2 linked regions of the Stegostoma tigrinum genome follow. The protein of the gene in region 2 purifies or fractionates together with the protein of the main gene of each other region. This does not show direct contact. Links are inferred from orthologs where the notes say so. Each region holds a gene or a part of one and is shown on either strand. Other genes may lie near its edges. The genes, in order: abitram and pus10.

The links.
Region 1: the proteins of pus10 (region 2) and abitram purify together in Homo sapiens (affinity purification with mass spectrometry; 3 studies listed by BioGRID and IntAct, counting the BioPlex papers as one, with this or other methods). This does not show direct contact. The link is inferred for Stegostoma tigrinum from reciprocal best matches to the Homo sapiens genes PUS10 and ABITRAM.

Annotation. Positions count from the first base shown.
Region 1 is NC_081355.1:106,692,323-106,707,868, forward strand, and holds the start of abitram (protein Abitram), read right to left. Parts: upstream 7,682-15,546; 5' UTR 7,668-7,681; coding exon 7,592-7,667; intron 5,520-7,591; coding exon 5,468-5,519; intron 2,076-5,467; coding exon 1,946-2,075; intron 1-1,945. UniProt on the Homo sapiens protein: Actin-binding protein that regulates actin polymerization, filopodia dynamics and increases the branching of proximal dendrites of developing neurons.
Region 2 is NC_081362.1:41,432,599-41,448,248, reverse strand, and holds the start of pus10 (putative tRNA pseudouridine synthase Pus10), read right to left. Parts: upstream 6,866-15,650; 5' UTR 6,786-6,865; intron 6,779-6,785; exon of another isoform or gene 6,620-6,778; intron 2,904-6,619; 5' UTR 2,822-2,903; intron 1-2,821. Other genes in the region: pex13 (peroxisome biogenesis factor 13), read left to right, coding at 7,315-7,385. UniProt on the Homo sapiens protein: Protein with different functions depending on its subcellular location: involved in miRNA processing in the nucleus and acts as a tRNA pseudouridylate synthase in the cytoplasm.

The sequences.
Region 1 (15,546 bases), on a different chromosome or scaffold from region 2:
CCAAAATGAACGTCATAGTAATTAACTTGGCACATAGCCTGGAGGACTTGCAAGAAAAATGGCCCAAAATGAGAGAAAAAAAAAGTCTTCTTTAGAATAATGTCTTTTTGATTTTTAAAGAAAAATAATTTATGGGATGTGGGCATTCCTGGATGGGCCAGTGTTTATTGCACATCCATTGTTGCACTTGAGGTGGTTACGAAGAACTGCTTACTTGAACTGCTCCAGTGCTGTTGGTGAATCCACAATGCCATTAGGGAGAGAATTCCTGGATTTTGATCCAGCAACCATGAAGGAACTGCAATATATTTCCAAGTCAGGATAGTGAGTGGTTTTAAGGGGAACTTGCAGTGGCATTGCTCAAGAAATCTGGCATGTCCATACCATCCTCCACCTTCCACAGGCACATCATTGAAAGTTTGCTGTTCAGATGCATAATGGCCTGGTACAGCAACTGCTGGCCAGAACTGTAAGAAACTACAGAAAGTCATGTGCACAGCCCATAGCATTATGGAAGACAGCCTTCCATCCACAGACTTTATTTACACTGTTCACTGCTGTGGAAAGGCTGCCAATATAATCAAAAACCCTTCACACACACGCCAGTAATGATCTGCTATGACCTCTTCTGTCAGGCAGCAGATACAGAAACCTGAACACACTTGTGAGCATGATCAGGAACAGCTTCTTCCCAGCTATTATCAGACTGATGAATGGACTTTCTAGACTCAAATAATGCTGATCTTGCTAACGTTGATCTCGCCTACACATGCCCTGGGTGATGTAACCTGTATGCCTCTGTCTTTTTGATCTGTACATCCTTTGCTTACTATGCTCTGCATGTATTGCTCGTAAACAAAGCTTTTCACTGTATTTCAGTACATGTTGACAATTTGTCATTTGTCTGTTGCCCTGGTCTCTCTAGACGAAAGTGGTTGTGGGTTTGGAAGATGTTAAAAATTTCTGCAGTGCATTTTGTCAACGGTAAACACTGGTGGTGGTGGAGGGACTGAATGCTTGTAAGTGTGCTGTCATTCAAGCAGGCTAATTTTCCTGGACAGTATCAAGCCTTTTGAGTGTTGTTGGAGGCACACTCATTCAGGAAAGTGGGGCGTCCTCCCCAAACTCCTGACTTGTGCCCAGATGAGATAATAATAATCTTTTGGAGTCTGCAAGTAATATTAAATGTGAAATTACAGCAAATTTCAGAAAACGTATTCACAAAGATTGGGTCTTCCAAGAAATTTAATAACAAACTGAAAATGCTACATGAAATATCCAGTTCAGTTTAAGGATACAATTGTATAATATAGAAACATGGGGTGAAAAAGAGAGCACACTTTGGAGAATGGATGTGCTTTACAACATTTACAAATCAAAATTGGCTTACGGATTATTGCAATAAAACAAATCAATGGAACCATCACTGTACGACAACTAAAGCTACATAGTATGAAAATAATTTGATAAGACACATGTATCAGCTTCAGCTCCTTTACAAAAATACAAGTTTTCAAACAAACATCTAAAATAAAACTCCATCAGAATCACAAACAGAAACAAGAGGCGTGTGATGTGTGACATGTACAGATCCAAGTTACTTAGGATTAACTGAAATTTTTTTGATAAGTCTTCATTTTGCTCCCATGTATACTTTCCAAAATCTTTAGGTCTTAGATCTAGAAACATAGGAGATCACTGACAAAGCATATTTTTTAAAAAAATCCTGCTGAAACCCACGACTGAAATGGCAGACCATTTTTTTAAAAAATGGTGACGATGGATGTAAATAACATTCCAAGAAATAAAATGTTTCAATATCATTTATTCAAAAGCACACACTTACAACAACACTGCCTGTCATTCTATCACTTCTACGTCTGAGGTCATGGCTAAGGGATTGAGAGGGAAGGAATTCAAATAAATAAAAAAAGATCAAACATACCCGTTTAGATTTTCCTGAAACCTTGTTTTGTAGTCGACTACAATTGGCACTGATCTGGTAGCTTATATTTTTTATTTCTTTCCCACTCTGTAACAGAGGGTGAGATTCTGCCAGTGTGATGACACATATCCTGTCATAATCAAGAGTGGCATGAATTAGAGCTCAAAAGCAGATAAAAAGAACAGCCTACATACTTCCAATGCTAGAATAAGTGCTATATTCTATATGTCAGGAGTCCAACAACAATATTTAGTCAGACATAGTAGGAACTGCAGATGCTGGAAAATCTGAGATACCAAGGTATAAAGTTGGATGAACACAGCAGGCCAAGCAGCAAAGGAGCAGAAAGGCTGAAGTTTTGGGCCTAGACCAATCTTCAGACCCACATCTGAAGAAGGGTCTAGGCCCGAAACGTCAGCATTCCAACGCCTCTGATGCTGCTGGGCCTGCTGTGTTCATCCAGCTCTGCACCATATTTAGTCATGTGGATTATCATGTGCCAATTACTATGGTTCTAAAGCTATCATTAGTGATCACTTACATATATTGGCATGGTTAAGATGGATCAGTAATAACAAGATAACTAAATTGCCCTTTCAAGAACATAAATCAAAAGTCAACTTCCATTTAATTAGCATCAAATCATTTCTTTGGAATGATAAAAACTACACTAATTTTGAAGTGTAGTCATTACTATTATTTACTTTTGATGTACAGTTATTACTGGTATTTGGTAAAAGAAACATTTACATTTGACAAGGTCCTACAAAAATTATGAATTGTTTTCTAGTTAATGGATTACCCTTATTGGGTTGGTTAAGAGTAAAGTGTTAGCCAGAACATTAGTAAACAAAACTATTCTTTGTAATGCTGTATGAGTAATATGGCAGGCCATTAAACTCGGTCCACTTCAGTGATAATGTTAAGACCCTGGAGAGAAATTTAAATCCAATAACTTGTACTAGTGAGTCAACCTTGAACTACATTTTTAAATTTAAGGATGAAAACTCAGTGTAAAATTAATTACTTGTGTTTTCTTAGACTATTGTTATGTAGGATTAATTTCCCTTATACAGAGACTTAATGTAAAAAAAACGATTCTCACTTAGCACAAATGCTAGGTATTTCATAATATGAGCTAATGGTCTAACTGCATGCTTTGGAACCCAGTTTTAATTCTTTACATCAGATTTCATAAATACATTTAAAAGTATTACATATACAAATACAAAAGGAAAATGTATTTAGCCCATTCTGTCTAAATTGCTCCTCAATTTACCTATTGTCAAACAACTACATACGTTAGCTCAGATCACAGGAAATCACTGCTACTTGTATCTTTGTGTTATTCAGTTAAATTAGTAATTCCAATAATTTGATTCAGACTGAGGTGCAACAGCTATTTCTAATAAAAGAAATCAGTATCTCTGGAACACACACCTCCTGCATGAAATTAAAATAATGCATACCAACAAGATGACATTTCAAAAGAAGCCGTTTACTGTCAACTGTGATGGCTTATGAAGTATTCTCCTTAAATGTGGCTGCCCTGTGAAGATCAAAGGCAGCTACAATCACTGCAGCAACCCTCTTTTACATCTTTCTCATTCCAATACCAACTCAGCTTCACCCTTCTGAAAAGGACCCAGTACCCAGTTTTGAACCATTTATTTACTCCACATGATAGCAAGAAACAGCTGAATGAAGGCACTGCATGCTGTAAAGGCTGACAACGTTCTAGCAACAGTACTGAAAACGTGCTCGAGGACTAGAAGTGCCATTTAACAAGATGTTTCAATACAGCTGTAACACAGGCATCTATCCAGCAAGTGTGGCACACTGCCTAGGGCACTAACAAGACCATTAAAGACAAATCAGCCTGCTTAGTTTACAATCCATCCACCACCCTAAGCACTTACGTACTCCACCACTGCACATTGGCTGTACAATAAACCATCTAAAAAAATAGACAACAGGAATTCCCCAAGCCTCCTCTGACACTAACTTCCAAACTTGTGCCGTCTTACTACCTAGTTGGACGAAGCAGCAAATACATGGTAGCAGCACCACTTACAAATCTCCCTCCAGGAGCACAATTCAGCCTGACTTAAAACCATACTGCTATTCCTCCACTGTTACTGGCTCAAAATCCTGGAACTCCTTAGCTAATAGCACTGTGAGGATCTCTACATTCAAAGGACTGCAGCATTGTAGCAATTTAGGAAAGCAGCTCACAACCATCTTCCCCAGAGCAATTAGGAATGGACAATAAATGTAGGCCTAGTAAGTGATGGCCACAACCCATTAATATTCTTTTCCTAAATAAGACTGCCCAAAGGCATGGAGAGGGTCTACAGAACAGAGCGGAAGCTGTTCGACCTACACCATCTGCAATCCTAAACCAAAATCACTTCAGTCACTGAATTCAGTACACAGGTCTGCATTGAGAAAATAAGTTTCAGCTCACTGCCAACATATAAGCAACAGGCTAGGCACTGAACACCCTGAAAACTAAGGTCCTCTCCCAAATGACTTCCACAGCACTAACCACTTAATCTATATATGTGTACCTTTAACAATGCAAAATTAGACAATGGAACTGTTTGGATGTCATTGTGTTGAAGAGGCTTTGTGATTTCTTGGAAGTGAGAAGTTAAAAAAGTTAAAACAGAAGACCCACAAGGGTAGCTTACTGGAGGATACAAACCAAGACTTTTAAGACAGACAAGAGATTGTCAAGCCATTAAGTCTATAAAAGAAAACCAACTTAGAAAAATCCTAGGATCCATGCTACTATTGCTTAACAACAATCCTGAATGAAAATCAGCTGAAGAGACCTCAGTGAAGACTTTTTTTTTGATTCCCAGAAAAGAAAGAAATTCACACAAATCAGTGTTTCTGAATCCTTAAATTCTGAAAGCTGAACTGCAAAGTCCTAAAACCTACATTTAACTGACCTTCCACCCAAACTAAGGATCCCCCATTGCTCTGCATTTGATAGCAGCAATTTAATTTCTTTGGTTCCTGGTCAGACATTATAAACACAGGAAGAGAAAGGGACAGGAAGATTGGGATCCAGGAGAAAATGAGAGGGGTAGGGTGATGAGAGGCCAGCAGATGGGGTGACGAGGCCTGCTACCCTTTGGCTGTCCTTGTGCACACACAAAACTTCTCCCCCAGCTCCCAGATCCTCTTTCTCTTCTCCCTCTAGGAATTCCCCATCGTATCCCTCTTCACACCACCAAATATCGTGTCTTGTCTCCGCCTTCATACCACTAAAGCCCACTTCAAAAGCATGTGCACTTGCCTGTGTATGCGCAGTAATGCATTTACACATGACATTACACAAAGTGCAGGTGATGTCAGGGCTTGGAACTGTGCATCGCCCAATGACTGCACATGTGTGGTTGCCTGCAGCTGTCATTATCAGCAATGATAATTAGTGATGATGGTAAGATGACAACGTACAATATTGCACTATTCTTTATGAAGTTGCAATAGCAATACATCATATACACCCACCTATTAGAATGGTGTAAGATACAATGATCTTCACACGGTTTCCCTTTAACATCTGGAACAAAGAAAAAAACTCGTCAAAAATTGCAAAGCTGTTTTTTTAAAAATGCCTCATAGCAGTACATAGTGCAAAGTTATTATATTCTATTGTCTTTATTTAAATTACATCTTCCTATTAAATTCACTCATTTTATAACCTACATGCCCTGTGTCCTCGTGTCTTCCCATCACCCCCACACATTACTTTTTCTCCCCTCATCAAAATCTGAACTTATTCACAAACTTGACCTTCCAGTTCTTGATTCACCAAGGTTTCTTAGACAGCATCTTCCAAACCAGTGACCACTATCATTTAGAAGAACAAGAGCAACAGATACATGGAAACACCACCATGCAAGTTCCCCTCCAGTGTGGCACAAGGATCGGTCCTGGGTCTACTGCTTTTCATCATTTATGAAAACGATTTGGATGTGAACATTGGAGGCGTAGTTAGGAAGTTTGTAGAAAACACCAAAATTGGTGGTGTAGTGGACAGCAAAGAAGTGGCAGATGGAGCTTAATTTAGATAAATGGGAGGTACTGCATTTTGGAAAGTCCAATCAGGGCAGGACTTATACACATTATGGTAAGGCCCTGGGGAATGTTGCCAGGATTGGATGGCTTGAGCTATGGGCAGAGGCTGAATAGGCTGGGTCTATTATCCTCAGAGCGTCATAGGCTGAGTTTTATAAAATCATAGCTAGTCATCTATTCGTGCCCCTAAGGTCCTCTCGCTGGTTGGGGGAAGTCCAGAACTAGAGGGCATAGGTTTAAGGTGAAAGAGGAAAGATTTAAAAAGGGGCCTAAAGGTCAACCTTTTCACACAGAGGGTGCTGCATGTATGAAATGAGCTGCCAGAGGAAGTGGGGGAAGGCTGGTACAATAACAACATTCAAGAGGCATCTGGATGGGTATAAGAGAAAGAAGGATTTAAGAAGAATAGGGGCAAAAAGTTGGCAAATGGCACTAGATTAATTTAGGACATCTGGTCAGACAAGTTGGACAGAAGGGTATGTTTCCACACTGTACATCTCTGCCTCTACAACACACCAATGCTCAATGTAACTGAAACACATCAACCCTTCATGTTCAATTACTCAATAGATGACAGCATTCTATTAGCCTTCTTGATTCTGTCACACCTACATACTAACCTGTTACTTAGGCACAAAGACATCCAAATCCCTTTGCACCACAGAATTCCAAAGCTGCTCTCTTTTTGAGATTTACTGCTTTTTCTTATTCTTCCAGTCAAAAGCTCACAACTGCACTTTTCCCATCTTATACACAGCCAGATTTTTCCTTACTCACCCTATCCATATACATTTACAAGATTGAAATTTCACAGATTTAGTGTTTACATTCTTGGGACATCCAAAAAGCTTCCGAGGCAATGTCAAGTCACAATACATTGAGACTCAAGATACTGAGTTACAATGTTTTGAAGCAGTTAGAATTATTTTCCCTCAAATTTGATGTGAGTCTGCACTATCCACCTCTGTGAAAATTCCATAGAGGCAGGCTGAATAAGGAAACCTTATGCATTTTAATCAAGTTATTTTCTACTAACCATTTCATCATAACATAAATAATAGGAAGAAAACAGCAGCTGCCCATCAACAGAGTCCATATAGTCTGGCAGTTTTGCCACACCATCTCAAAATTAAAAATCTCATCAGATACAATGGAATTCTTACAATCAGAGCTGAACTTTGGGCTGAGTTTAGGCTGTGTTCCCATAGAAATCCAGACTATTCCCCTGAATTTCTGCGAAAGGAAACCTAATCCCCACCTTCTAGCCTTTTAGATAGGATTATGGTTTATTGTCTTCTCGTCCCCAATTTGGAAACCAGTGTCAGTCTGGTGCTCGCAAATTCAGGCTGGGGTCTTAACCGCTCCCGCTGAATACGGCGCCCGTTCTTCGGTCGGAGCCAATTCCACCGCCCGGGTGTTGGGGCCTTCCGTCGGGGTTGGCGGAAATCTCCCCCACCCAGGACAAGGCTCCATCAGCAGCAGCACCTCGGCCGAGGCTCCGCAGTGACAGAGGCACCCACCCTGCCTTGTACCAGCAGTGACAGAGCCACCTACCTGTCTTATACCAGCGACGAAAGTAGCGATCCACCATTGAGGGATAGGTCTGAGCCTGCGCCTCCTCCACCTCCATCACGCCGGAAGTCAGTACCGTCTCCTAGCAACACAACGGAAGTGCCTGTTGGATTCTTGATGCTATGTGTTTGTTCCAGTTCCAGGCGCTTGGTTATGTTTGGTACTTCACAACTAATTGCTGTGCAAAAAATCAAAACTTTTATACTGTTCTGTAGGGGGGAATCTCGGAATCGAACTGTGCTTCAAATGCTGCCGGACCCGCTCAGTTTTTCCGGTATTTTCTGTTGTTGTTAATGAAGGATGCTTGCTACATTTCACTTTTGGCAGGTAGCTATAATGTATAAGTTCACCATGCAGTCTCCTGGGGGAACTGCAACAAATGTAGCGGATAAACCGTCCGATTCTAAAGGTGTGATTATTTGAATCTGCTGATAACGAAAAGACACTGCAGCTTCTGGGCCTAGAAAAGTTGCACTGAACGCGGAGAAGTATTTTATGTCAGTCACTCAGAGATGCACAGCACGGAAAGAGACCTTTCGGTCCATCTTGTCTGTGCTAACCAGGCCAGAGCCCATTCTGCTCTTTCAGAACAGAAAATAAAGCTACCGTGACTTGATTTCTATTTGACAAAGGAATTACTCTGGGGAGAAACAAAAACAAATACACAAGCAAAAAATGGCTCTACCTTGACTCTGTCCCCACCAACCACTTTTGGGCAGGAACCACAGGGGACCAAAGTAAAATAAACAAAAGCAAAATCAAAGAAAGCAAATAATCAAATAAACAAATAACCAATTACATAAATAAATCCGCTGTGCTTTGTCCCCAGTGAGCACTCCTGGGACAGGGACAACAATGGTTTAAAAATGGTGGGCGGCAGGGTGGCTCATTGGTTAGCACTGCAGCCTCACAGTGCCAGGGACCTGGGTTCGATTCCAGCCTTGGGTAACTGTCTGTGTGGGTTTCCTCCCACAGTCCAAAGATGTGCAGGCTAGGTGGATTGGCCATGCTAAGTTGCCTGTAGTTGTTTAGGGGTTGGGCCTGGGTCGGATGCTTCAAGGGGCAGTGTGGACTTGTTGGGCTGAAGGGCCTGTTTCCACACTGTAGGGAATCTAATCTAAAATCCAGAGGATGTTCCCTTGCTCATTTCAAATAAAGATAAAATTCCCCTCAGACTGATCCCCATCAAGCACATCTGGAACAGGGCCAGTACAGAGCTAAAACAGAAGCTTTGGCTCTTCCAAGGGGTTCAAAATCGGAACAGATTAAAAATAAGACAGTTCTCTTCCCTGGGCACCAAACCATAAACAAATGCAAACACAAAATGGAGACTTACACAATTAACTAAATCAGAATATCATCATTCAGGCCTATAATGCACTCCAGGCCCCATGGCGCCCAGCAGTCTCAACCATGCCGGTGAGCACAACGCACAACGCACTACCTCTCCAGGAATGCCCCAGCATGGGTGTAACCACAAAAGGGGTCAAACAGTAGGAACAATGAGCCCCTTTTAAGTCTGTTGCCTGGACTTAGTTGATGGCCATCTTGGCCAGGCCCAGAAGCAAAGCCACAAGAAGGCTCATCCACGTGTCTGCCACTCCCTCTGCTTGATGCCCATTGATCAGGAGTGTGAGGTTGAAATGCAACCAAATTTTAACAGCAGATCCTTAAAGAAACTAAAACTGGGCTGCTGATGTATGCACTTGATATAAATGTGCAACACTGCCTCCTTCAGGCCACAGAACATGCATGTGGACTGGCACCTGGTAAACTTACACATTTGCCGGTAGCACCGGACCGCCAATGTGCAGCACTCTCCGCCCCGCATCTCTGATGTGAGAGTGGAAGACACCTTTATAGAGGGCCCTCCATTGGAGATCTCTACCACCGGAGGGCAAAAGATTATGCCAAGGCGAGCCTGGGCGGCAGATGAAGGCACAGCAATGAAGAGTGTGCAGCATCAACTTGTACAAATAATGCCTCTGTGCTGTCTAAAAGGCCATCAGACGGACATTGCTGAGATGGCTCAGACTGTGGGACACAAAGTCATGGGGGAGGGTCCGCAGCACGGGGCCAGTGTCAAGTTCAGGATGGACAGGGGTCAATTTGTCCAGAAGCCCAATGCACGCCTGAGGAGCTGCAAGTGTACACGAGGTGTCATGGCCGAGTGCCTTGTCCATCAGGCTCCAGATGGCTTGGGTCACAAACCAGAGATGGATTGATGCCCTTACAGTCAACGATGCTGATGTTACTCAGCCCGCTCCTTTGCCATCCAGCGCGTGCCCTGACTCTGGTTCGCCCTGAATCCTGAACTCTCTCCTACCTTGGCCAGTGCAAGTCGCGCTCGAGGAGGAAACCTCCTGTGCAGCAGCTTCCCAACGAGACCCGCCACTGCTGTAGCAGGAGAACTCCAGCACAAGCCAACCGTGCCCCACACGATTGATCAGGTTCAGATTGAAGGCAGGCAACTCCTGGAAGAAGACCCGAGGCTGGGACCACTCCACGGACAGCAACTGCATGTTGTAATGGAGGCCACACACCTGATGGAAAAATGTATGTCATCAGGGCACACTATCTTGGAGGGAGCAGAACGTAAAGGTATTGCTGCAAGATGTGAAGGTAGAAAGTCGCTCCCTGGACGCGAAGGCAAACAAGCACCTGACCACCTTCCTCAAGCGGGAAACTTAGGACCGTAGCAGCGAGCCAGTGTTGCCTCTTGTCCTTGGAAAACTTGATGAGCTATTTCTGGACAAAGCCAGGCAGAGGGACCAAAGTGACCAGCCAGTACCACAACACAGTGGCCATCAGCTGGCTTATGACCAGCACTTGTACCCTGTCCTGTCCAGCGTGTGAGGTGAGTGGTCACCTTGGTCTCCAATTCATGCCAGTTTACTGGCGAGGATTCCTCATGAGAACAAAGGCAGATTCCTAGGTAGAGGAGGTGAGTGGTACTCCATGTGAAGCACCGGAGCTCCTCCGGCAAAATGTCCATCTGCCAGGGACTGATCAGAACTCCTGATTTGCTCCAGTTGATCATTGCAGAGAACACCAGAGACCTCCTGGCACTTGTGCATCCTCCAGGTCAGCTGGGCCTGTGAACAGAAGGAGCACATCATTGACATATGCCAAAAGAACCACCTCTTGCCCTGGCCCATGCAGAGCCAAACCCAAATGCTGCTTACGTAGGAGGTGGAGGAACAGCTCCAGGCAGTAAGAATAAAGCTGGCGGGACAGGGGGCAGCCTTGACGCAATCCTTTCCCAAAGCACAGGAGCACCATCAGGGATCCAGTAACCTTCACTAGGCACTCCATGGTAGCGTGCAGAAGTCAGATCTAGGCAGCAGAGTGCATTCCGAACCTGAATATTCACAGAGTTCCAAGCAGATACTTGTGATCCACTCTATCGAATGCCTTTTCCCGATCAAGAGAGAGAACAGTGCTCGACAGGCCAGCCCTCTGTGAATAATGGATCACATCCTGGATCAGATGGATGTTGCTGGGGACACTCCGCCCTAGGACACTTTAGGACTGATCCGAATGGATCATGTGATCTAGCACAGTGCCACAGCGAGTTAAAAATACCCTGGCAAAGATTTTGTAGCTCGTGCTGAGGAGAGAGACCAGATGCCAATACAAACAAACAGTGATCCCCTTTCTTAGGCACAGTGATGGCGGCCTTGCGCCCAGAAAGACACATTTCTCTGGTTGCGATTCATTCCTCCAGGATCGGCATGTAGTTGCCTCTCTTCACCCCCAGCATGTCCCAGAATGCCCTGAAAAACTCTGCAATCAGCCCGTCCAGCCCTGGGGACTTGCCCCAGGAATGACCATCGAGGGCATCGGTCAGCTCCTTCACACTCAGAGGGGCATCAAGCCTCTCGGGACCCTTGGGGCTGACCTGTGGTAAGTCCTCCCACAAAACTTTGCAAGCTTCCTTGCTGGATCTGGAGAGAAGAGGACCCCGTAATCATCTGTCACTTGGCCCTGATGCCCACTGGATCCAAGAAGAGGGATCCATCGCCGACTAGCAGCACAAAGAGCTGCTGACAGACTCCGTGCCTTTTCACCGGCAAGTAAAAGAAGGCGAAGCCATGGTCAAGATTCCGAAGGATGTGGACCCACAATCTCCCGTATGGACCCCGGGACCCAGTAAGATGCACATCCTGGAGTGTCTCCATTTTCTTTTCCCACAGGGTCGGGTCCACATCAGGCTGACCGAGATCTGACTCCAGGTTGAGCATCTCCTTCTCCAAACCCCTTGATTTTATCCGTTCCTTCATCAACCCTGACATGTACTGCTGACAGATGGCACAGATGTGTGTCTTGTCACATCCCACTGTAGCCTCAAGGAGGGGAAGCCCAGCACTTCTTTCTCCATAGCCTGTCCAGAAGTGATGAAATGAGTCCCAGAACTGCCTGTCCTCCAGCAGTTATTAAATAGTTGTTAAAGTGCCATTATGCCGAGCTTGCCCTGATGCCGAACGGAACACGTTCAGCCCAGAAAAAGTCGTGAACGGAAAATGGCACTTGCCGCATGGAGGCCTTCAGAACACAGGAGGCCTATGCCCTGGAAATGTAGAGGTGGTCATTTCTGGACACACTGATGAAAGCAATGGAATCGGGATGAAGACTTTGCCAGACATCCACTGAGTCAAAGGTCTTAACTAAGTTCCCCAACTTCCCCAGTAATACTGAACTCTTCTGGGTACTGCCATGGTCCCACCTCTCAAGGGGACAGTTGAAATCTCCCCTGAAAAAGATTACTTCACCCTCACCAATGGAGCGAAGGGTAGTAGACTCTCCCTCGAAGAAGCACATCTGCTCAGGTCCCATCCAAGGCATGTATACATTTGTGAAGTGAAGCACCATGCTTCTGAAACGAACCATGAGTTACGGGAGGCCACCTGGCTCATGCTCCTTGACCCTCAAGATCTCTGGCTGGTAAAAAGGGCCAATAAGATAGCCACCCCACCATAATCAGAGGCCAGATGATTCATGAAGACCCTTCCCCACCACTCCACAAGCCACATATCTTTGTCTCCTGAGACCGTATGGGTTTCCTGCAGGATGCTCACTACATCCTTTCATTCCCTGAGGAGCAAAAAATATGAAATCTCAGCTGGGCCTTCCCACTGCCGTTGACGTTGAGGCTAGCTCTGGCTGTCTTCATGGCTGCAGTATGTGCCATCACCACCAGTTAGAACAATGAAGACCAACTTACTGAGCAGGCGGAGGGACTCCTTTCTCCCTTGCACCCTGAGGGCGCAGTAAAGGAGTCCTTTGCACCAGTGCTTCGCATTCTTGTCCATTCCCAGGGCTGCCAATTGCTGCTGGGCAGACATGCCCAGAAGTGGTAGAGAATTCCACCGATCCATAGCCAACTGAACTCTATCTCAGTGACCAAGCACAGCTTGCAAAATGTCCTGGAGTTCCCCATTGGGGATGAGGGGGACCTCGTCCACAAGCACCACATCATTCTCTGCCTCATCTACCTCGGCAGTGCTTTTGACCAATGCTCAGTCCTCCTCCAGGCCATCACGTCCTACTCTGGCTCCTCCCCCACATCAAATGCAGGGGGTAACCAGGATCACCTGTCAGACACATCCCATGCCTCAGCCCCACCCCCAAGCCTAACAGTTGGAGCATCCTTTGCAGGGAGATCCAAGTCTCGGGTTATGCCAGACTCAACTAAAAGGTTGACTGAAATGTCGGACCCCTGGGTGGCAGCGGTTCAGAAACCTGCTCTACTCCCAGCGCCGTGTCACCATCTGTATCTGGGAAATGATCTTCACTTGGGGCAGAGGTGCCCGACATAAAAGCCTGGGTGGAGGCAAGGAGGCCTGCTGCTTTGTAGCTGCCATCCAGGGTGCCCTCAGGGTAACTAATCCCACCGCAGTCCCCTGCCAGCACAGGCAGCACTTTTAGGCCTTCCAGTTCCTGTGGTATGGACAAGACCTCAGCGGCCATGCTCACCTCAGCCTCTGAGATGCCTGGCCCAGTTGAGGTGGACTGCAGAGGCGGGTTCATGTCCCCCTCCCCTAGCAAGGAGGGAAGAGGGACTTCCAGGGGATGCTACTCCCTCCTTCCCAAGGGGCATTTGTTGTTAGTGCTGGGCCCTGAGGAGTGGCACCTTTATCGGGAGAATGCAGGAGTGAGAGACGCCTCCATTTCTCCACTGTCCTGATGCCCCCTTCCTTGAAAATGTTGTCTGTTTCACCTCGCCCCCACGCGTTTCAGGGCATGCAGGGGGCTGGGGGATCTGGGGACACCATCTGCTCATTCGTACTTCTTTTCACTGACAGGCAATAGGTGAGGCTCCAGATCCTACTGTCTCCTGACAGGCCTGGGCCTGCTATCCTGTGAGAGGGATCCCTCTCCAGGCTGGGAGCTGACAGCCTCAGGGTTACCCAGGGAATCCTCCCAGGAGGTTGCCCCTGACCACCCTACTGGTGCCCAGAACGAGGTACCTCCCTCTTGCAGGGACCGAGGGGGCATGGAGGCATCAAGAGGTGATGGGTGGTGATGCCAACTGCAGCCCATGTAGGTGTTGGCAGCAGCCTTCGAGGCAGGGCAGTTCCTCTGGAGGTGCCCCACCGCCTTGCAGGCATGACACCGCACACTGTCTGCTGACCAGAACACCTGGGTAAGCAGCACTTTTGTGCTCAACCGTGAAAGTACCCTCCGTGACCTCCTCCCAGGCCAGGCAGGCAAAAACCTGTCACTATAAGGAGTAAATATGTCTCAGGCAAGTCTCCTTCAGTCTGAGTAGTTAGGGGCACCACGCCCAACCTCACCTCCCCAGGCTGGCCAAAATGGGAGAGAAGGAGCTCAGATGGGAGTGACGTTCAATAAAATAACCTTCTAAGAAACTACTTCCAGAGGGTCGACAGGCAAGAGCTTCCCACCAACAGTAAGCCCCTTCCCCAGGGCAAGGTGCCCCGCCTGCTCAGTCTTCAGGAACAACACTACCTTTCCATACACCTTCGGTGCAGCAACAATGGTGGGGGCACCAAGTACCCCCGCCAAAATTACTGCACATATCTCAATGTTCATGTCCTACCCCAGATGTTTTAGAGTGCCTCGCTGTCACCATCGCATCCCCCCCCCCCCCCCTCCCTCCCGCACCGCCCCAACCCACGCCTCCCAAACCAGGACTACTACAGCCTCTCACAAAAGTCGCAGAAAAAGAGCCTGACAGTGACTTGTTCGGCCTCACCAGTCAGCACAGTCCTTTAGGCTGCCATGTCCCAACACACAAGTCCCAGACAATAGTTCCCAAAGCCCAAAGGCAAGATCATACAGGCCACACTCTGGAAGTAGTAACAGGGAGAGGGCCCAGGCTCCTAACATGTAAAGGTGTACGCAGCTGCTGCAGCTCAGTCAGGTTTTCCTCTGTGATAGGAAAGCCTTTACAAATGATATCCTGGGATTTAATCAACTTGGATAAATGTAATTAAAGGAAGCAAACATGAACTTGTTAAAGGAATATTGTTTTTAATCAGCTTGATTGAGTTTTGATCAGATAATAGACAGGGTGAGTGACAGTACTGCAGCTGATGTGGTGTACCTATAATTTTACATGTTTTTAGTAGAGCACCACAGAATAGGCTTATCAGCAAATTTGAAACCCACAGATTAAAAGGGAAAGTGCATAACTACAGTTGTCTGAGTGACAGAAACAAGAGTAGCTTTGAACAGTTGCTTTTCTTGATATGTGATATTGTAGAGTGAGCGCAGTTTTAAAATTTGTAAATTAAACAAAGCTTGTAATTATTGTGATCTGTTGAGGATAAAGATGGACTACACAAGAATATGGACAGGCTGTTTGTATGAGAGACTAGGACCTGAGGGCACAGCCTCAGATTGAAGGACCAACCATTTCGGCTACTTGTGTTGCATGAGCCATAACTCCTTTGTTTAAGGAAGACCATAAG
Region 2 (15,650 bases):
GTTCATATCTTATTAATCAGCCACCTACGAGCAAACAACTTCTCTAGTCATGTGTCTGTCTTCAGTTGCAATGGTAAATCTTGCTGCTCAGTTCAAACATGTACAATTGATGTAATACCCATTGGACACAGGTCCCAAGTTACCAATTGGTCTGATCCTTGTTAACAACACAATGTTTATACTCTGATGGCTCTCCACTGTTTGAGAATTTGGTAAGAAGATGAATTAGCTGGAGGTCAAATTTAATTTAATTTTGAAATGCACACCTGGTTTCAGCAATGTTTTTGCTATCGGAAGAATAATTTTGGCATGGCACCATAGTCTTTGTTTGTACAGGACTATTTGTCAAGGTTTCTGCTGGTTTGCTTCTCTATGCAAGGACTGGCTTATCTTTGCTGATTTTCACCAATGCCCCAGCCTTTTCAGACAACCAGGGATACAGCAGATGATGTATGATGTTGTATTTTCCAATTCTTTACAAAAGAGCTGGAATTCTTCATTTGGGTACTGAAGATCATTATTGGTCATCCTAGTCTCAGCAGCGGTGGTTCAAATCAACTGGTCCATCTCCCAGGAGTCAGAATCGGTGTCTAGCATGACAAGGTAATCAGCTCCTGTGAGTGCGAACAGATCTATTCCTAGCTACATCCATGGTCTATCTGGGATGTCATGCATCATCAGGGGCTCTCTATCTAGCTTAGATCAGTACTCATTATGAGAACTACACTAACTGATGTGGCCCTTGATTTTATTACTCACATTTGGCCAGGACAGCAAATCTCTTGTCTCGCTCAGGCTGGAATCAATTTCTTGCAGTTTGCATTGATGCACTTCAGCATCTCTCTTAACTCCTTCGGAATAAGAAATATTTCCTTTGTACAATATGCAACTTCAAGCTGTCAATTCATCTGTGTGCCCAATATACTTTTGAGACATAGGAGTGTCCTTGATGCTTTCAGGCCATCCTGTCATCTCGATTTCTTGCAACACTTGCAGATTTAAGTAAGGCATTTAAACACTCAGCATCATTGCTGGGGGCCCCTTTGTGATGCAGTGGTAGTGTCCCTTCCCCTGAACTGAGGAGCCCAGGTTCGAGTCCCATCTGCTCCAGAGGCGTATAAATAACATCTCTGAACAGGTTGATTCAGAAAAATAGATTCAATGTCTTTGCTGAGCTGATGACTTCCAGAACAGACTTCATATAACATTGTGAAATCTTCTAAATCCACTCTCTCACATCATCCTCTACATTAGTCATAAAAAGGAGATCTGCCGTCTGCAGCTTGGTCAGTGATGTACATCTGTTTCCTTTGCTTGTATGTCACATTCACATAGTATCTCTGTGACCAGGCTAACATGTTATGCAGATACTCTGAAGTAAATAGTAGTGCCTTGTGCAAAATAGTTTGAAGCAGTTTGTGGCTAGATTCAAACTCATCTTGTCTCTTCCAATTAGGTGTTAATGAAAATGATCACGAGCAAAGGTAGTCACCCAGGCAACATCTTGATCTGAGCATATATTCATTTTGTTTGCATAAATGCACTGGATCCAAATACAGCTTGTTGTCCTTGTTACACGAGGGATACGCCAAGCCCTGTCCTGCTGGCATCACACTGTGGGCTGCCTTCGTCATGTATATAACACTTTGTCAACTCCATTACCTTGTTAGTTGCTTGATCTTGATGACTGCTGCTTGTTTTGGGCCCCAATGCCATTGTACAACAAAACAAGAGAACTGATCAATGACTTCAGAAAGGAAGGAGAAAGACACGCCACTATCTACATCAATGGTGCAGAGGTGGACAGCGTCAAGTTCGTAGGAGTAACAATAACCAACAATCTGTCCTGCACCTCCCTCATGGATCTGACAGTCAAGGCAGCAGTATAATGCCTTTCCTTCTTCAGATGGCTCTGGAAATCCGACAAGTCCATAAGAACCTCACCAACTTTTACAGTTGCACCACAAAAAGCATTCTATCTGGGTGCATAATGGCTTGTATGGCAACTGCTCTGCCCAGGCCTAGAAAAAGCTACAGGAAGTTGTGTACACAGCCCAGATCACCATGAAAACAAACCTCCCATCCAAGGACTCCATCTACACGTCACGTTGCCACAGAAATGCTGCCAATGCCATCCAAGATTCCTCCCACCCCAGTAATACTGTCTTCAAACCTCTTCCGTCAGACAGAAGATACAGATACACGTTCAAGGATAACTTCTTCTCTGCTGTTATTTGATCACTAAGTGGACTTTTCTAATTTCAAATCTAATATTGATCTTGCTTTAACACATCTTCTGTGCAGACGTATCTGTGTGCCTCACTCTATCCAAATACCCTATGATCTATATGTTCTTGAGTATTATGATCTGCTTGAAATGCTCGCAAAACAAAAAACTTTTCACCGTACTTGAGTACACGTGACAACAATAAAACAAATCAAATCAAAGTAAGTTCTTCTCTCAGCATGAGTGTGGTGCCATCATACAGCCTCGACTTTACTTTTGAGAGCTTCACTTTTCAACTTAAGAGAATCATTGAGTTGTCATTTCACACAAGCCTCTCAAGTTCATGATGCGCCATTGTGTATCTCACACTGCAGAATCACTTGTTATTCTCCTTCTGCAGTCATCATCCCAATAGTTACAAACCATTAATCATACACTGACAAATGAACTAACATGTTCAATGGTTTAGAGTGATTCTTCAGAATTCTATGCAGATATCTCTCCAGCGGCCATCTGCACCTGCTCATTCTACTTCTTTCTAATCAAACACTTCCACAAAATCATTTTGCTTCCTGTAGAAAGAACACTACGTACCTCAAATTGGATATGCCTTATTTTGCTTTGTGTGATGTAGTTGCAACTTGCTCTTTACCTCTGCTCTCTCTTCCTGGAATACCTGTCAAGACAATACCCAAAAGGCCTAGTTTGTTCTGTCATAAATATGCTCTTGGTGTTGATTTAAACACTCCACATTTCTGTACATGTTAATCACTTTCCAGAAAGGAGAAACATATCTTGACTCAATTACATAATCATCATAGAATCATACTATCCCTGCGGTGTGGAAACAAGCCATTTGGCCCAACAATTCCACAGTGGCCCTCCAAAGAGTATTCCACCCAGACCCATTCCCCTACCCCTGCATTTCCCATGGATAATCCACCTAACGTACACACCTCTGGACACTATGGGCAATTTAGCATGGCCAATCCACCTACCCTGCACATCTTTTGACTGAGAGGAAACCCGGACACCTGGAGGAAACACAGACAGACACAGGGAGAATGTGCAAACTCCACCCAGGTCCCTAGAGTTGTGAGGCAGCAGTGCTAACCACTGAGCCACTGTACCGCCCTGTTTTCTCAATTCACAAGACTCAAGAGTGTCATTCTGCAGCCACCTATTTAATCAATGGACACTTTTAGACATAGGCCTTAATGCTGAATATATTGATCATCAATTGAGGTTCATGGTGTAACTTCAGGTTTTCAAAATTTCTGCTCTCTAATATTTTTTGTTCTTTAGAGAGGTTTAGGTTAGAATATAATTCACAAGTCTCTCCATAGAGATAAAAAAAACGGAGATACTTGTAGCTGCTTTGGCTTGTAAATTAAATCTGCTGCAATTTTTTAATTTTGCAAGCAAATGAAAAAAAGCTGTCAGATTTGCTTCATATTATATTTCGTTTTAACTGATACCAGGAGAGTAAAGATGCAGCATGGTGCCTCATCCAGTGCCTTCTAACGTGATTCCCTTCTTTGTTCTTTTTCCGTAGCTTCCTGTTGTTTTTCGCAGCTTTGAACATTTCTGTGCTCCTTGGCTTGTAGTAAGAGTCTTTATTGAACTGAACTGATTACCTCTATAAGTGTCTCATGGTGGATATCACAGGACTACAGCAAGTCAGGAGGCACGATAGTGCAGTATTACGCTTTCATTCTAAACCTGTGTCAAACAGTCACTCTGAACTCCTCTTACAACTGACCGTAATGAGTTGATATCTCAACATCCTGACTACTGTTTTTGAAGTGTTTAATTACTAATGCAATCTCATTAACATAAAGTGTTTTTCTGCAAATGCTCAATAACACGTATTGTGCAATGAGGCAGACTTGACGAGGGAGCTTAAGGTAAAGGAACCCTGAGGAGGCAGAGATCATAAGATGATAGAATTTACACTGCAATTTGAGAGAGAGAGAGAAGATAGAATCAGAGCTAATGGTATTACAGCTGAATAAAGATGACTACAGAGGTATGAGGGAGGACCTGGGCAGAATTGGCTAGAAGAGGAGCCTCGCAGGAAAGACAGTGGAATAAGCACTGGCAGAAGTTTCTGGGAGTACTTCAGGAGATACAGCAAAAATTCATCCCTAGGAAAAAGAAGCATGGTACAGGGAGGATGAGGCAACTATGGCTGACTAAGGAAGTCAGGGATAGCATAAAAACAAAAGAAAGAGAAAGCATATAATGTCAAGAAGGGCAGTGGGAAATCGGAGGACTGGGAAGCTTACAAAGATGAACAGGGGGCAACAACAAAAAAAAAACTAAGGAGGGAAAAGATTAAATGTGAGGGCAGGCTAGCCAGTAATATAAATGAAGACTGTAAGATTTTCTTAGGTATACAAAGGGCAAAAGAGAAACAAAAGTGGACACTGAACCACTGAAAAATGACAGTGGAGAGATAGTAGTGGGAAACAAGGAAATGGCTGAGAAACTGAATTACTTCACATCAGTCTTCATGGTAGAAGACACCAGTAATATCCTAAAAATTCAAGAGTCAGGAGACAGCCTCCATATTCAGCTCCATCACCAAGGAAAAGGCGCTAGAAAAACTGACTGGCCTGAAGGTGGATAAATCACCTGGACCAGATGGGCTACACCCCAGAGTTCTAAAGGAGATAGCTGAAGAGATAGTGGAAGTGTTAGTGGTGATCTTTCAGGAATCACGAGAGTCAGGGAGGGTCACAGAGGACTGGAAAAAATCACTAACGTGACCCTGTTTAAAAGGGGAGTAAGGCAAAAGACGGAAAATTACAGTCCGATTAGCCTAAACTCAGTCGTGGGTAAAATTTGGAGTCCATTGTCAAGGATGAGATTTCTGAATATTTGGAATTATATAGTAAAATAGGGCAAAGTCAGCATGGTTTCATCAAAGGGAGATCATACCTGACACATCTGCCAGAATTCTTTGAGGAAGTAACAAGCAGGGTAGACCAAGGAGAACCAATGGATGCTATCTACCCGGACTTCAAGAAGACCTTTGATAAGGTGCCACACAGGAGACTGCTAAGTAAGATAAGGGCCCACGATTTTAGAGGCAAGGTGCTAGCATGAATAGAAGATTAGCTGTCTGGTAGAAAGCAGGGATTGGGGATAAAGGGGTCTTTCTTGGGATGGCAGCCGGTGACTAGTGATGTTCCGCAGGGGTTGGTGCTGGGACCACAACTCTTCAGTTTGTACTTTAAATGATCTAGATGAAGGAACTGTGGGCATTCTGGCTAAGTTTGCAGATGTTACAAAGATAGGTGGAGGGACAGGTAGTATTGAGGAGGTGGGGAGACTGCAGAAGGTCTTGGACACGTTAGGAGAGTGGACAAGGAAGTGGTAGATGGAGTACAACGTGGGAAAGTGAGAGGTCATACGCTTTGGTAAGAACAACAAAAGCATGGACTATTTTCTAAAATGAGGAGAAAATTCAGAAGTCTGAAGTGCAAAGAGATTTGGGAGTTCTAGTCCAGAAGTCTCTCAAGGTAAACTTGCAGGGTGAGTCAGTAGTCAGGAAGGTAAATGCAATGTTGGCATTTATTTTGACAGGACTTGAATGTAAAAGCAGGGATGAATTACCAAGGTTTTAAAAGGCACCGGCTAGGCCACTTTTTGTGTATTGTGTGCAGTTTTGGGCCCCACGTCTCAGGAAGGATGTACTGGCCCTGGAGCGGGTTCAGAGGAGGTTCACACGAATGGAAAGCTTAACATATAAAGGAACATTTGAGGACTCTGGGACTACACTCATTGGAGTTTAGAAGGATGGGGAATCTAATTGAAACTGTCAAAATACTGAATAGCCTGGACAAGGTGGATGTTGGGAAGATGCTTCCATTTGTAGGAGAGTCTAGGACCCAAGGGCACAGCCTTAGAGTAAAGCGAAGATCTTTTAAAGTAGAGACAAGGAGAAACTTCTTCAGCCAGAGAGTGGTGAATCTATGGAATTCACTGCCACAGAAGGCTGTGGAGACCAGGTCATTGAGTACATTTAAGACTGAGATAGATAAGTTCTGGTTTATCAAGGGATATGGGGAGAAAGCAGGAGAATAGGATGGAGGAACTTATCAGCCATGATTGAATGGCACAGCAGACTTGATGGGCCGAATGACCTAATTTCTGCTCCTTCATCTTATGAAGGGTAATTGAAGAATTGGTAGGAGGAACAAAATGAACATATATACGACAATGCAAAAAAAAAAGACCAGACAAGATACAGAAAAATCAATTCTACATACAAGAATCAAAATTTTTCTACAGTAAAAGAAACGACTTCAGATTAAACAACCTGTTTTAAACGACTATTGAAAAGTCTATAAAAATAACAAGCACTGCAAGACACCACAGACTTACATCTTCCTGCACATGCCTTAGGAGACTTTGCAATTATTTAACTAGCGTTAAATCTTTTCTTTCATAAAGAAAAGACTGATATAGGTAAACTATAATGTATTCAGTCAAATGACTTGGTCCTCAGAACAAACAAAAGTTAAATATAGCGATACATCAGTAAACTCACAAGTCCACAGCCACAGTCCAATGCCGGAAGTGATTACAGACAGACGCAGAGACTGCTTTCTGACTTGCTGCAAGTTCATGACTCCGAGTTCGAATCTATCCCGAGAGCCCATTGGTTAGTGCTTCAGCGCATGTCTCTGTCCTATTGGCTACTGTGCCGAGCTGTGTGTATCCCTGTTTTCTATTGGCTGCAGTGTTTGACAGGATGCATTTCCATGTTGTATTGGTTGTTATGCCTGTCCGATGTATCAATGTATTCTATTGGGTACTACCGTCCGTCTTGCCGTATCACCCTTTTTTGTTGGCTGCAGTGTTTGTCTGGTTGTATCCACTTATCCTATTGGGTATAATGTCTTTCCGGATATATCCCTGTGTCTTATTGGCTATTATTGTCTTGTCTGGATGTATCCTCTTCTTCTGTTGGCCGCTGTGTCTGTCCGGATGTCACCCTCTGTCCTATTTGCTATTTCTGATGGGAGTGAAGCTGAGGGGCCGAGAGGTCATTCCGAGCGTATGTTTTTCTGAAGATTATGGGGTCGCAGCCGCCAGCGAAACCCTGGGAAAGACGGATCCCGGGAAACCTGAGTGCCCCCTCTTTCCAGTAAGTGTTATTCGGTGATCATGATGTGCACGGCCGTGGCTCGGTGTGAAGCCTTAATGGCATTTCCGCTTAAGAAAAAAACCCACAGTGAACTCTTAAAATATCATCGTCTTTCGAACCGAATCCGATTTCAAAATCATAACAGCGGCACTTGCCAAGTGGAGTGTGGCAGGTGTCTGTGATGTGATTGAGCAAGTTGGATAGAGGTTTAGAGAATTATTCGAAATGCTAACGAGTTGTTCCCAGCATTTCTTCATTTTAAGCTTTTTTTTCAGAAGTCACCGCGCTAAATGTACTCCGTAAAGTTTAAAAGTAACAAACATTCAACATTTCGGAGGGAACATCAATGGCTAGGCCCAGTGTGGGGTGACTTCACCCGACATTGCCACCGCTTGTTGTGCTCCAAACCCCCGAAAAGCTGCAAATTCCTCTTCTGCTCTGAACAGTAGGATTGTAAAGTTAGTCAACCTTTTAATGCGGTGTAATTTGTGATGGATACGAATTTTATAAGGTGCTCCGATAATGAAACCAATATGCTTCGGGAGTAATCAGTTCCCACTGGGCTTTTTGTTGAATGAAGGTTGGAAGCAACATTGAGCAATGAAATCGACATTCGGGAATTGCAACATAACTATATAGAGAGTCAGAAATTTCTATACTACAGAAACTGTTCAGCTACAAAAACATTAATAACAAAATCATAATCTTGGATTTAGCAATATTTCGATGGTTTAAATGTCTGTCCTTTTAGTATTGAATTTTGGACGAGCTGTGTGACAATTTAGATACTGGAGGTGCGAGTGAAGTTGACCTGGATGCCATTAGTGCACACGTGAAAGCTAATGCATGAATAGAAGTTGACAAAGTGAAAAGTTATCCATCTAGACTGTTGAAGTCATTTTAAAAGTCCTGAATCTCAGAATGTTAACAAGCAGAACAGCAAGTAACATATGTAGGGAAATGGTGTATCGCTATTTATTACAAAGGGCTTGGAATTTTAGAGTAAAGGTATCTCACCTCAGTTATACGGGGGTATATCTGGAAAACTGTGAGCAGTTTTAGTTTGAGGAAAGTGTGTCTTGTCAGTGTGTCATAGTTAGAATGTATCAGAAGTTTAATAGATTGCTTTCCGTGATGAGGAATTGTCCTATGAGAAGAGATTAACAGAAGTAGACCTTTATTCCCTGGCATTTAAAGGAATTAGATCTGATGAAATAGAAACACAAATCATTCTTAATGAGCTTGCCAGGATGGATGCAGAGAAAAGAATGCCCCTGGCAGGGGAGGGCAGTGCTTTTACACAGACAGTGGTGTAGGCATGGAATGAACTGCTGTGCGAGTTGGTGAAGGTGAGTACAATTACACCAGTTAAAGTGTACATGGATAGGTAAATGAATAGGAATGGTTTAGAGGGACATGGGCCAAATGCTGGTAAAAAAACTGGGACCAGATCAGTTATGATGTCTGGTTGCACAGACGACTTGGACCAAAAGGTCTGTTTCCGTCCTCTATAACTGTATGATTCAATAACTTAGCAGTGAAATGAGAAATTTCTTCTTTCAACGGACAGCGATGCCATCCCAGGTAGCTGCAGACAATTGTTGACTATATTCAAAACAGTGAGTAGATATTTAGGTGCTAAAGGAATTGGGGTACGCTAGGTAGTGTCGAAAGGTGGAGCGAGATCATAGATAAACTATAATCGTATTGCATAGCTCAGAGGGAAAGTGCCTATTCTTGCACTTTGTGCTTTTGAATGATATCCCAAGAAGCAGTGTGTTTATGAGAACTAGAAGAGGGCTAAGGATAAATGCTTGAGGAACAACAGAGCTAATGGTCCAAGAACAGTAATAGTCACATGTGACTCTTTGGTTATGAACGGATTGACAAAGAAGGAATTTGCCCAGTGTGTAGTAGTATACTATTTGACTGCAATGGTGGTCACTGATTATAAAGATTGTGTTGATGGGATAAGATTGATCCTGAGGGATTATATTTGTGGGGCGGTATGGTGACACAGTGGTTAGCACTGCTGCCTCACAGCGCCAGGAACACGGGTTCAATTCCACCCTCTGCCCACTGTCTGTTTGGAGTTTGCACATTCTCCTCGTGTCTGTGTGGGTTTCCTCCCGGTGGTCCAGTTTCCTCCGGTCGATTGGTAATGTTAAATTGTCCGTAGTGTTCAGAGATTTGTAGATTAGGTGGGTTAGAGTGGATTGGGTTTGGGTGGGTGCTTTGAGAGTCGGTGTGGATTGTTGGGCCTAAGGGGTTGTTTTCCACACTGTAGGGATTATATTATTCTGTGATATGATTTCTCTTTCATAGTATGCTGTATAAGTTGAAGGAAGAAAAGAGAAAGTAGGATTGGTATGAACTGTATGGGGGATAGCTACTGTTCTTTGCAGTCAGGAGTATAAGCTTTAGAGGCTGGGTTGCCTGCCCTTTGCCAGGATTAAGCTCATCGGGGACAGGAAAGGAACCTTGAACAGCAAGGGCATTGATCCAATTATTGTGGTCCACGTAGGCATCGTCATCATAGGTAGGAACATGGAAGTTTAGCAGCCATTGGCTAATTTAAAATCAACTACAAATACAGTAAGCTCTAGATTACTAACTCAATCACAAACAAACTGGCACAGGGTCACTGATCAGGGGATTGAATGTAGGACTCCAGAAATTGTTGTGGGAAAGATGGGTTTCAATTGATAAAACACTGGCACAATACTTTAGCTTTTCCACTGGGATAGGCTTCATGTGAACCATGCTTGGACCAGTGCCTTTATACATTGAATACCTGGGGCTGTAGAAATGCGTGGATGGATAGAAAATCAAATGGGTGTGTTTGATTGAGAGTAGAATTTCAGGAATCAGAAGGATTGTTAAGTTGAATTAGATAGAGAAAGATAGTTAAGTACCAGCATTGGAAACAAATATCCAATGGTGGTGTCTTGGCAATGATTGATGGGAAGATGGAGATTAAAATCATGAGTGATTTTAAAAAAAAAAACAAGTTGGGTCGATTTTTCTGTATAATGACACAAAGTAAGATGGTGGTAGTTCTTGGAGGTTAGTCATCTCAGTTTCGGGTCATCACTGCCGCAGTTCCTCAGAGCAGTGTCATAGGCCCACAGATCAGCTGATTCATCAGTGACCTCTCCTTCTTCATTAGGTCGTCTGTGATGATTACACAATGTACCCTCCATAACTCCTCGCATACTGAAGCAGAGCATGTCCAAATGCAACAAGACATGGTCAGTATCCAGGCTTCGGCTGAAAACTAGCAAATAACATTTGCGCGAGACAAATGCCAGGCAGTGACCATTTCCAATCTATCACTGTCTGTTGGTTTTCAGTGGTGTACCTATCACAATGTCGTTACTATCAAAATCCAGCTGGTTAGCAATGACCAGAAACTGAACTAGACTTGTCATGCAAATACTGTGGCCAAAAGAGCAGGTCAGAGGCAAGGAATGCCACAGTAAGTAAGTTGTTCCTGATTCCCCAAAGTCCTGTTGACCATCTTCTTGGCACAAGCCAGGAATGTAACTGTATGCTCCTGACTTGCCTGGATGAGTGTAGCTTGACAACACCCAGGACAAAACAGTCTGCTTGTTTGGCACCATGTCCATGACCATTCAGTCACACCGCCAGCAATGCTCAGTAGCCATAGTGTGTACGATCAACTAAATGCATTGCAGAAATTCAACATGGGTCCTTAGACAGCACCTTCCAAACCCACAACCGCTACCATCTGACAGGACAAGGACAGCAGATACATGGGAACATCACCATAAGATACAGGAAAATAATTACTCCATTCAGCCCATCAAGTCTGCTCTGCCATTCCATCATGGTTGATTATGTTTCTCAACTCAATTCTCCCAGTAACCTTTGATCTCCTAACTAATCGAGAACCTATCTAACTCTGTCTTAAATACATTCAACCATGCGGCCTCTACAGCCCTCTGTAGCAATGAAACCATAGATTCACCACCCTCTGGCTGAAGAAATGCCTCCTCATGGCATTGTACTGTCACAGTAGCTCAGTTCTAAAGGGTCATCCCTTCACTCTGAGGCTGTGCTGTCGGGTCCAAGTTTCTCCTACTAGTGGAAACGTCTTTTCCATAGCCACTCTATCCAGTCCTCTCAGCATTACATTGGTCTAAATCAGATACATAAACCCCCCCCCCCCCCGCCCATCCTTCTAAACTCAAGTACAGACCTAGATCCTTAAACACTCTTCATATGAAAACCCTTCATTCTAGGATCAATTTTGTAAACCTCCTCTGGACCATCCCCAAGGCCAGCACATCCTTCCTAAACTGCTCACAAATTTCCAAACTTGGTCTGTCAAGAGCTTTGTACAAGAGTCTGAGCAGAATTGGCTAAGGAGGACAGAAAATAAGTTAGAAAGTAAGATGGTAGTGAGCATTTAAGGAAGCTATTCATAATGCTCGACAAACATATATTCCAATGAGAGAGAGAAACTCCACATGACAGATGGCTAACTGGAGAAGTAAGGATGCAATTAAAAGAAAAATAATACCATGTTGCAATGATCCGGGGTAGACCAGAAGATTGAGAAAAGTTTACAAATCCGGTAAAAGATGTTTTCTTTTTACAAAGATAAAATAAATTGAGAATAAACTAGCTTGAGACAGGAAACATACACTAATAGATTCTGTGTATACAAAGTGGAAGTGGATAGCTGAAGTAAATGTTGATGTCTTAGGCAAGACTGGAGAATTTAAAAAAGCACCCAGAAAATGCAAGAGACTTCAAAGAAATATATTCTACCTGCATTTGCTGCAGAGGGAATAAAAGTATTGAATTAATGCAGAGGTATCGCTGATGGTGTTTATCTAGTACTCTTGTGTACTGCTGATCATAGTCCAGTTCTCACTGCAGAACATTAGTGTGGTGACAGTAGCTGCTGTGCATTCTAAGACCTATTTTGACTTCGGCAGGTCTTTGTTATCAAACGCTCACCACGGTTTGTAAAAGGCTAAGCTGATGTAGCTGACCCAGTGTGGGATCTTTTCATCAATGGTTGCCTTTTGAGAGGGGTGGCTGTCACATTATGGGAAATGCTTAATATATTTCAGTGACTGCCCTTCAATGTGTATGGGAGGTAGAATATTTTGCTGACCAGTTGAGAGTTGATATTAGTTTTGTTTTGGCAAAGTTCAAGGGCCAGTCAAATTTCTTGGTTGTAGAATTGCAAATTTTGATGCAGAATAGGCAGCAACGTTGCAGTCATCTGCAAAGTATAAATTGTGTATGATTATGATGGTTAGTTTAGTTTTGGCACAGAGACAACTTTGGTACAGAGATTTTAAGAGATTTCTGTCCAGGCAATATTTAATATTGACATTGGAATGCAGTTTATCTGTGAGTATCTACTGTTAGGCATATTATAGATCGTATGAGAGGTAACATACAGCCTTGCTTGACTCCAGTTAGGATTTTGAAAGCATCTGTTTCAGATCTTCCCCTTAAGGTAGTTAGTTATATTCACATCATCATGATCATTGCAGGATTGTGATTTTTTTTTGGACATTCTGATCCATAGAACCTCACAATTTACTGTGTTAGATAGTTTGGTCTGGTCAGTGAATGCAACAAAGAGTTCCTGGTGCTATTCTCAACATCTTTCTTGGGTTTGTCTGATAAGAAAGACCATGTCAGGGGTTCCTTTACAAGTTTTCAAGCCACCCTATATCTCTGCAAGGATTTTGTCTGCCACAGGAAGTATGTCATTCAGGAGAATCCATGTCAGGATTTTCCCTGCTCCAGACAAATGGAAATAACCCTACAGTTTCACAACATGATTCATTTTCCTTATTATAGGTAGCCATAAATGTTGCATTCGTGAAGTTGTGGGGAGATGAGGCGAGAGAATTATTTGTTTTTCTCTGCCGGACCATAGAATGAGCATATGGAATCTTGATGTGAACGTAAGCCCAGCAGCTTTGAAGGCCTCAGTGGGAGTACCTCTGGAGCCACAGGCTTTGTTGCTTTTCATTCTTTGGATAACCTGTTGTAGCTCTTCCATTGGTGACTGAGCCATGGATTCTAACACATGGTATTGGCAGGTAGCTTGAAGGTTATTAATATCTGCTGTGGATTCACAGTTCAGCAGTTGTTTTAAGTGAAGATTAATGGGTTTGTCATTCTTGAGAAGAGACCAAAAAGCATTTTGTCAATTTTAGATTACAAATTTTCGTATTTATCAATGGTCCTGGTGGGTTCAAAAAGAGCTTTGCAGGTAATGATATTCAGCAAACTGTTGAGGATCTTGCATACCTTTTCTTCCTACCACAAGTCATTGAGCTTCCAAATATGTCTTCGGGCATAACCTTTGAGATGTTAGATTACTGACTTGTGATATTTTAATGTTCTTCCAGGCGATAAAGGTTGCTCATTTTTCAAGCTCTTTATTTGAATTTTTGCAGCATTTTTAACAAGATACATGAACTGATGCCTCAAGTGGAAATAAATATCACATACAATATGATAGTCATCCCAGAGATATGTCTGTGTTATTTTTGTATCTGCGGACTGGTAGAAGATGATGTATGCTGTAATGATGCCGCACTGAGTGCATTTGTCAGCAGGAGATTACTGTTTATTTTGGCTAATCCTAATCCATTTTTTCCAATCGTCTTGCTACAGACTTTGAAGTCACAGTCAACCTTTAAAAAAATCCCCAGAAGGATGATTCTTGTTTTTGCTTTTGAAATGGTATTGAGGACTTCATCAAGATTCACTGAGGCAAGGATTAGGGTATAAATAATGCTGACAGTGACATATTGATTATGGCTGAGCTGGATATCATAAATCTTTCAATAATCCATTTGGCAGTCTGTCAGTGCTGCCAACATCCAATTCCAGATGGCAAAACCATGCTCCTACGAGGAGTTCGAACAGTTCATCCACTTCACCAACACCTTCCACACCAACCTTAAATTCACCTGGACCATCTCTGATACCTCTCCCTCATTCCTGCACCTCTCTGTTTTCATCTCTGGCAATGACCTGGAAACTGATATCCATTTCAAGCCCACCAACTCCCACAGCTACCTAGAATACACCTCCTCCCACCCACCTTGCTTCAAAAATGCCATCCCCCCCTTCCCAATTCCTTCACCTCCGCTGCATCTGCTCCCAGGATGAGGCATTCCACTCCTGTACATCTCAGATGTCCTTGTTTTTCCAGGACTGCAAACCCCGCCCCCTCCCCCCCACCAAATTTGGTCAAGAATGCCCTCGACCATGTCTCCCACATTTCCTGCTACTCATCCCTCACACCCCCTCCCCGCAATAACAACCAAAACAGAATCCCTCTCATTCTCACGTACCACCCCACTAACCTTCAGATCCAACGCATCATCCTCTGACACTTCTGCCATCTGCAATCCGACCCCACCACCAAAGACATTTTTCCCTCCCCACCGTTATCTGCTTTCTGGAGGGCTACTTTCTCCGTGACTCCCTTGTCCGCTCCACACTCCCCTCCAGCCCCACCACACCCGACACTTTTCCCTGCAACTGCAGGAAGTGCTACAACTGCCCCTACATCTCCTCCCTCACCCCCATCCCAGGCCCCAAGAAGACTTTCCACATCGAGCAGATGTTCACCTGCACATCTGCTAATGTGGTATACTGTATCCGCTGTTCCCGTTGTGGCCTCCTCTACATTGGGAAAATCAAGCAGAGGCTTGGGGACCGCGTTGCAGAACACCTACGATTGGTTCATACTAAACAACTGCACCTCCCAGTCGCCAACCATTTCAACTCCTCCTCCCATTCCTCAGATGACATGTTCATCCTGGACCTCCTGCATTGCCACAACGATGCTACCTGAAGGTTGCAGGAACAGCAACTCATATTCCGCTTGCCCAATGGTGTCAATGTGGACTTCATAAGCGTCAAAATCTCCCCTCCCCCTACTGCATCCCAAAACCAGTCCAGCTTGTTCCCACCTCCCTAACCTGTCCTTCCTCCCACCTATCCCCTCCTCCCACCTCAAGCCCCACCCCCATCTCCTACCTACTAACTGCATCCTGCCCCCTTGACCTCTCCGACCTCCCTGGACTGACCTAGCTCCTCCCCAACTCCTCACCTACACTCACCTTTACTGGCTCCATCTTCGCCTCTTTGACCTGTCAGCCTCCTCTCCACCTATCCTCTCCTCTATCCCACTTTTATCTGCCTCCCCCTCTCTCCCTATTTATTTGAGATCCCCCTTCCCCTCCCCCATTT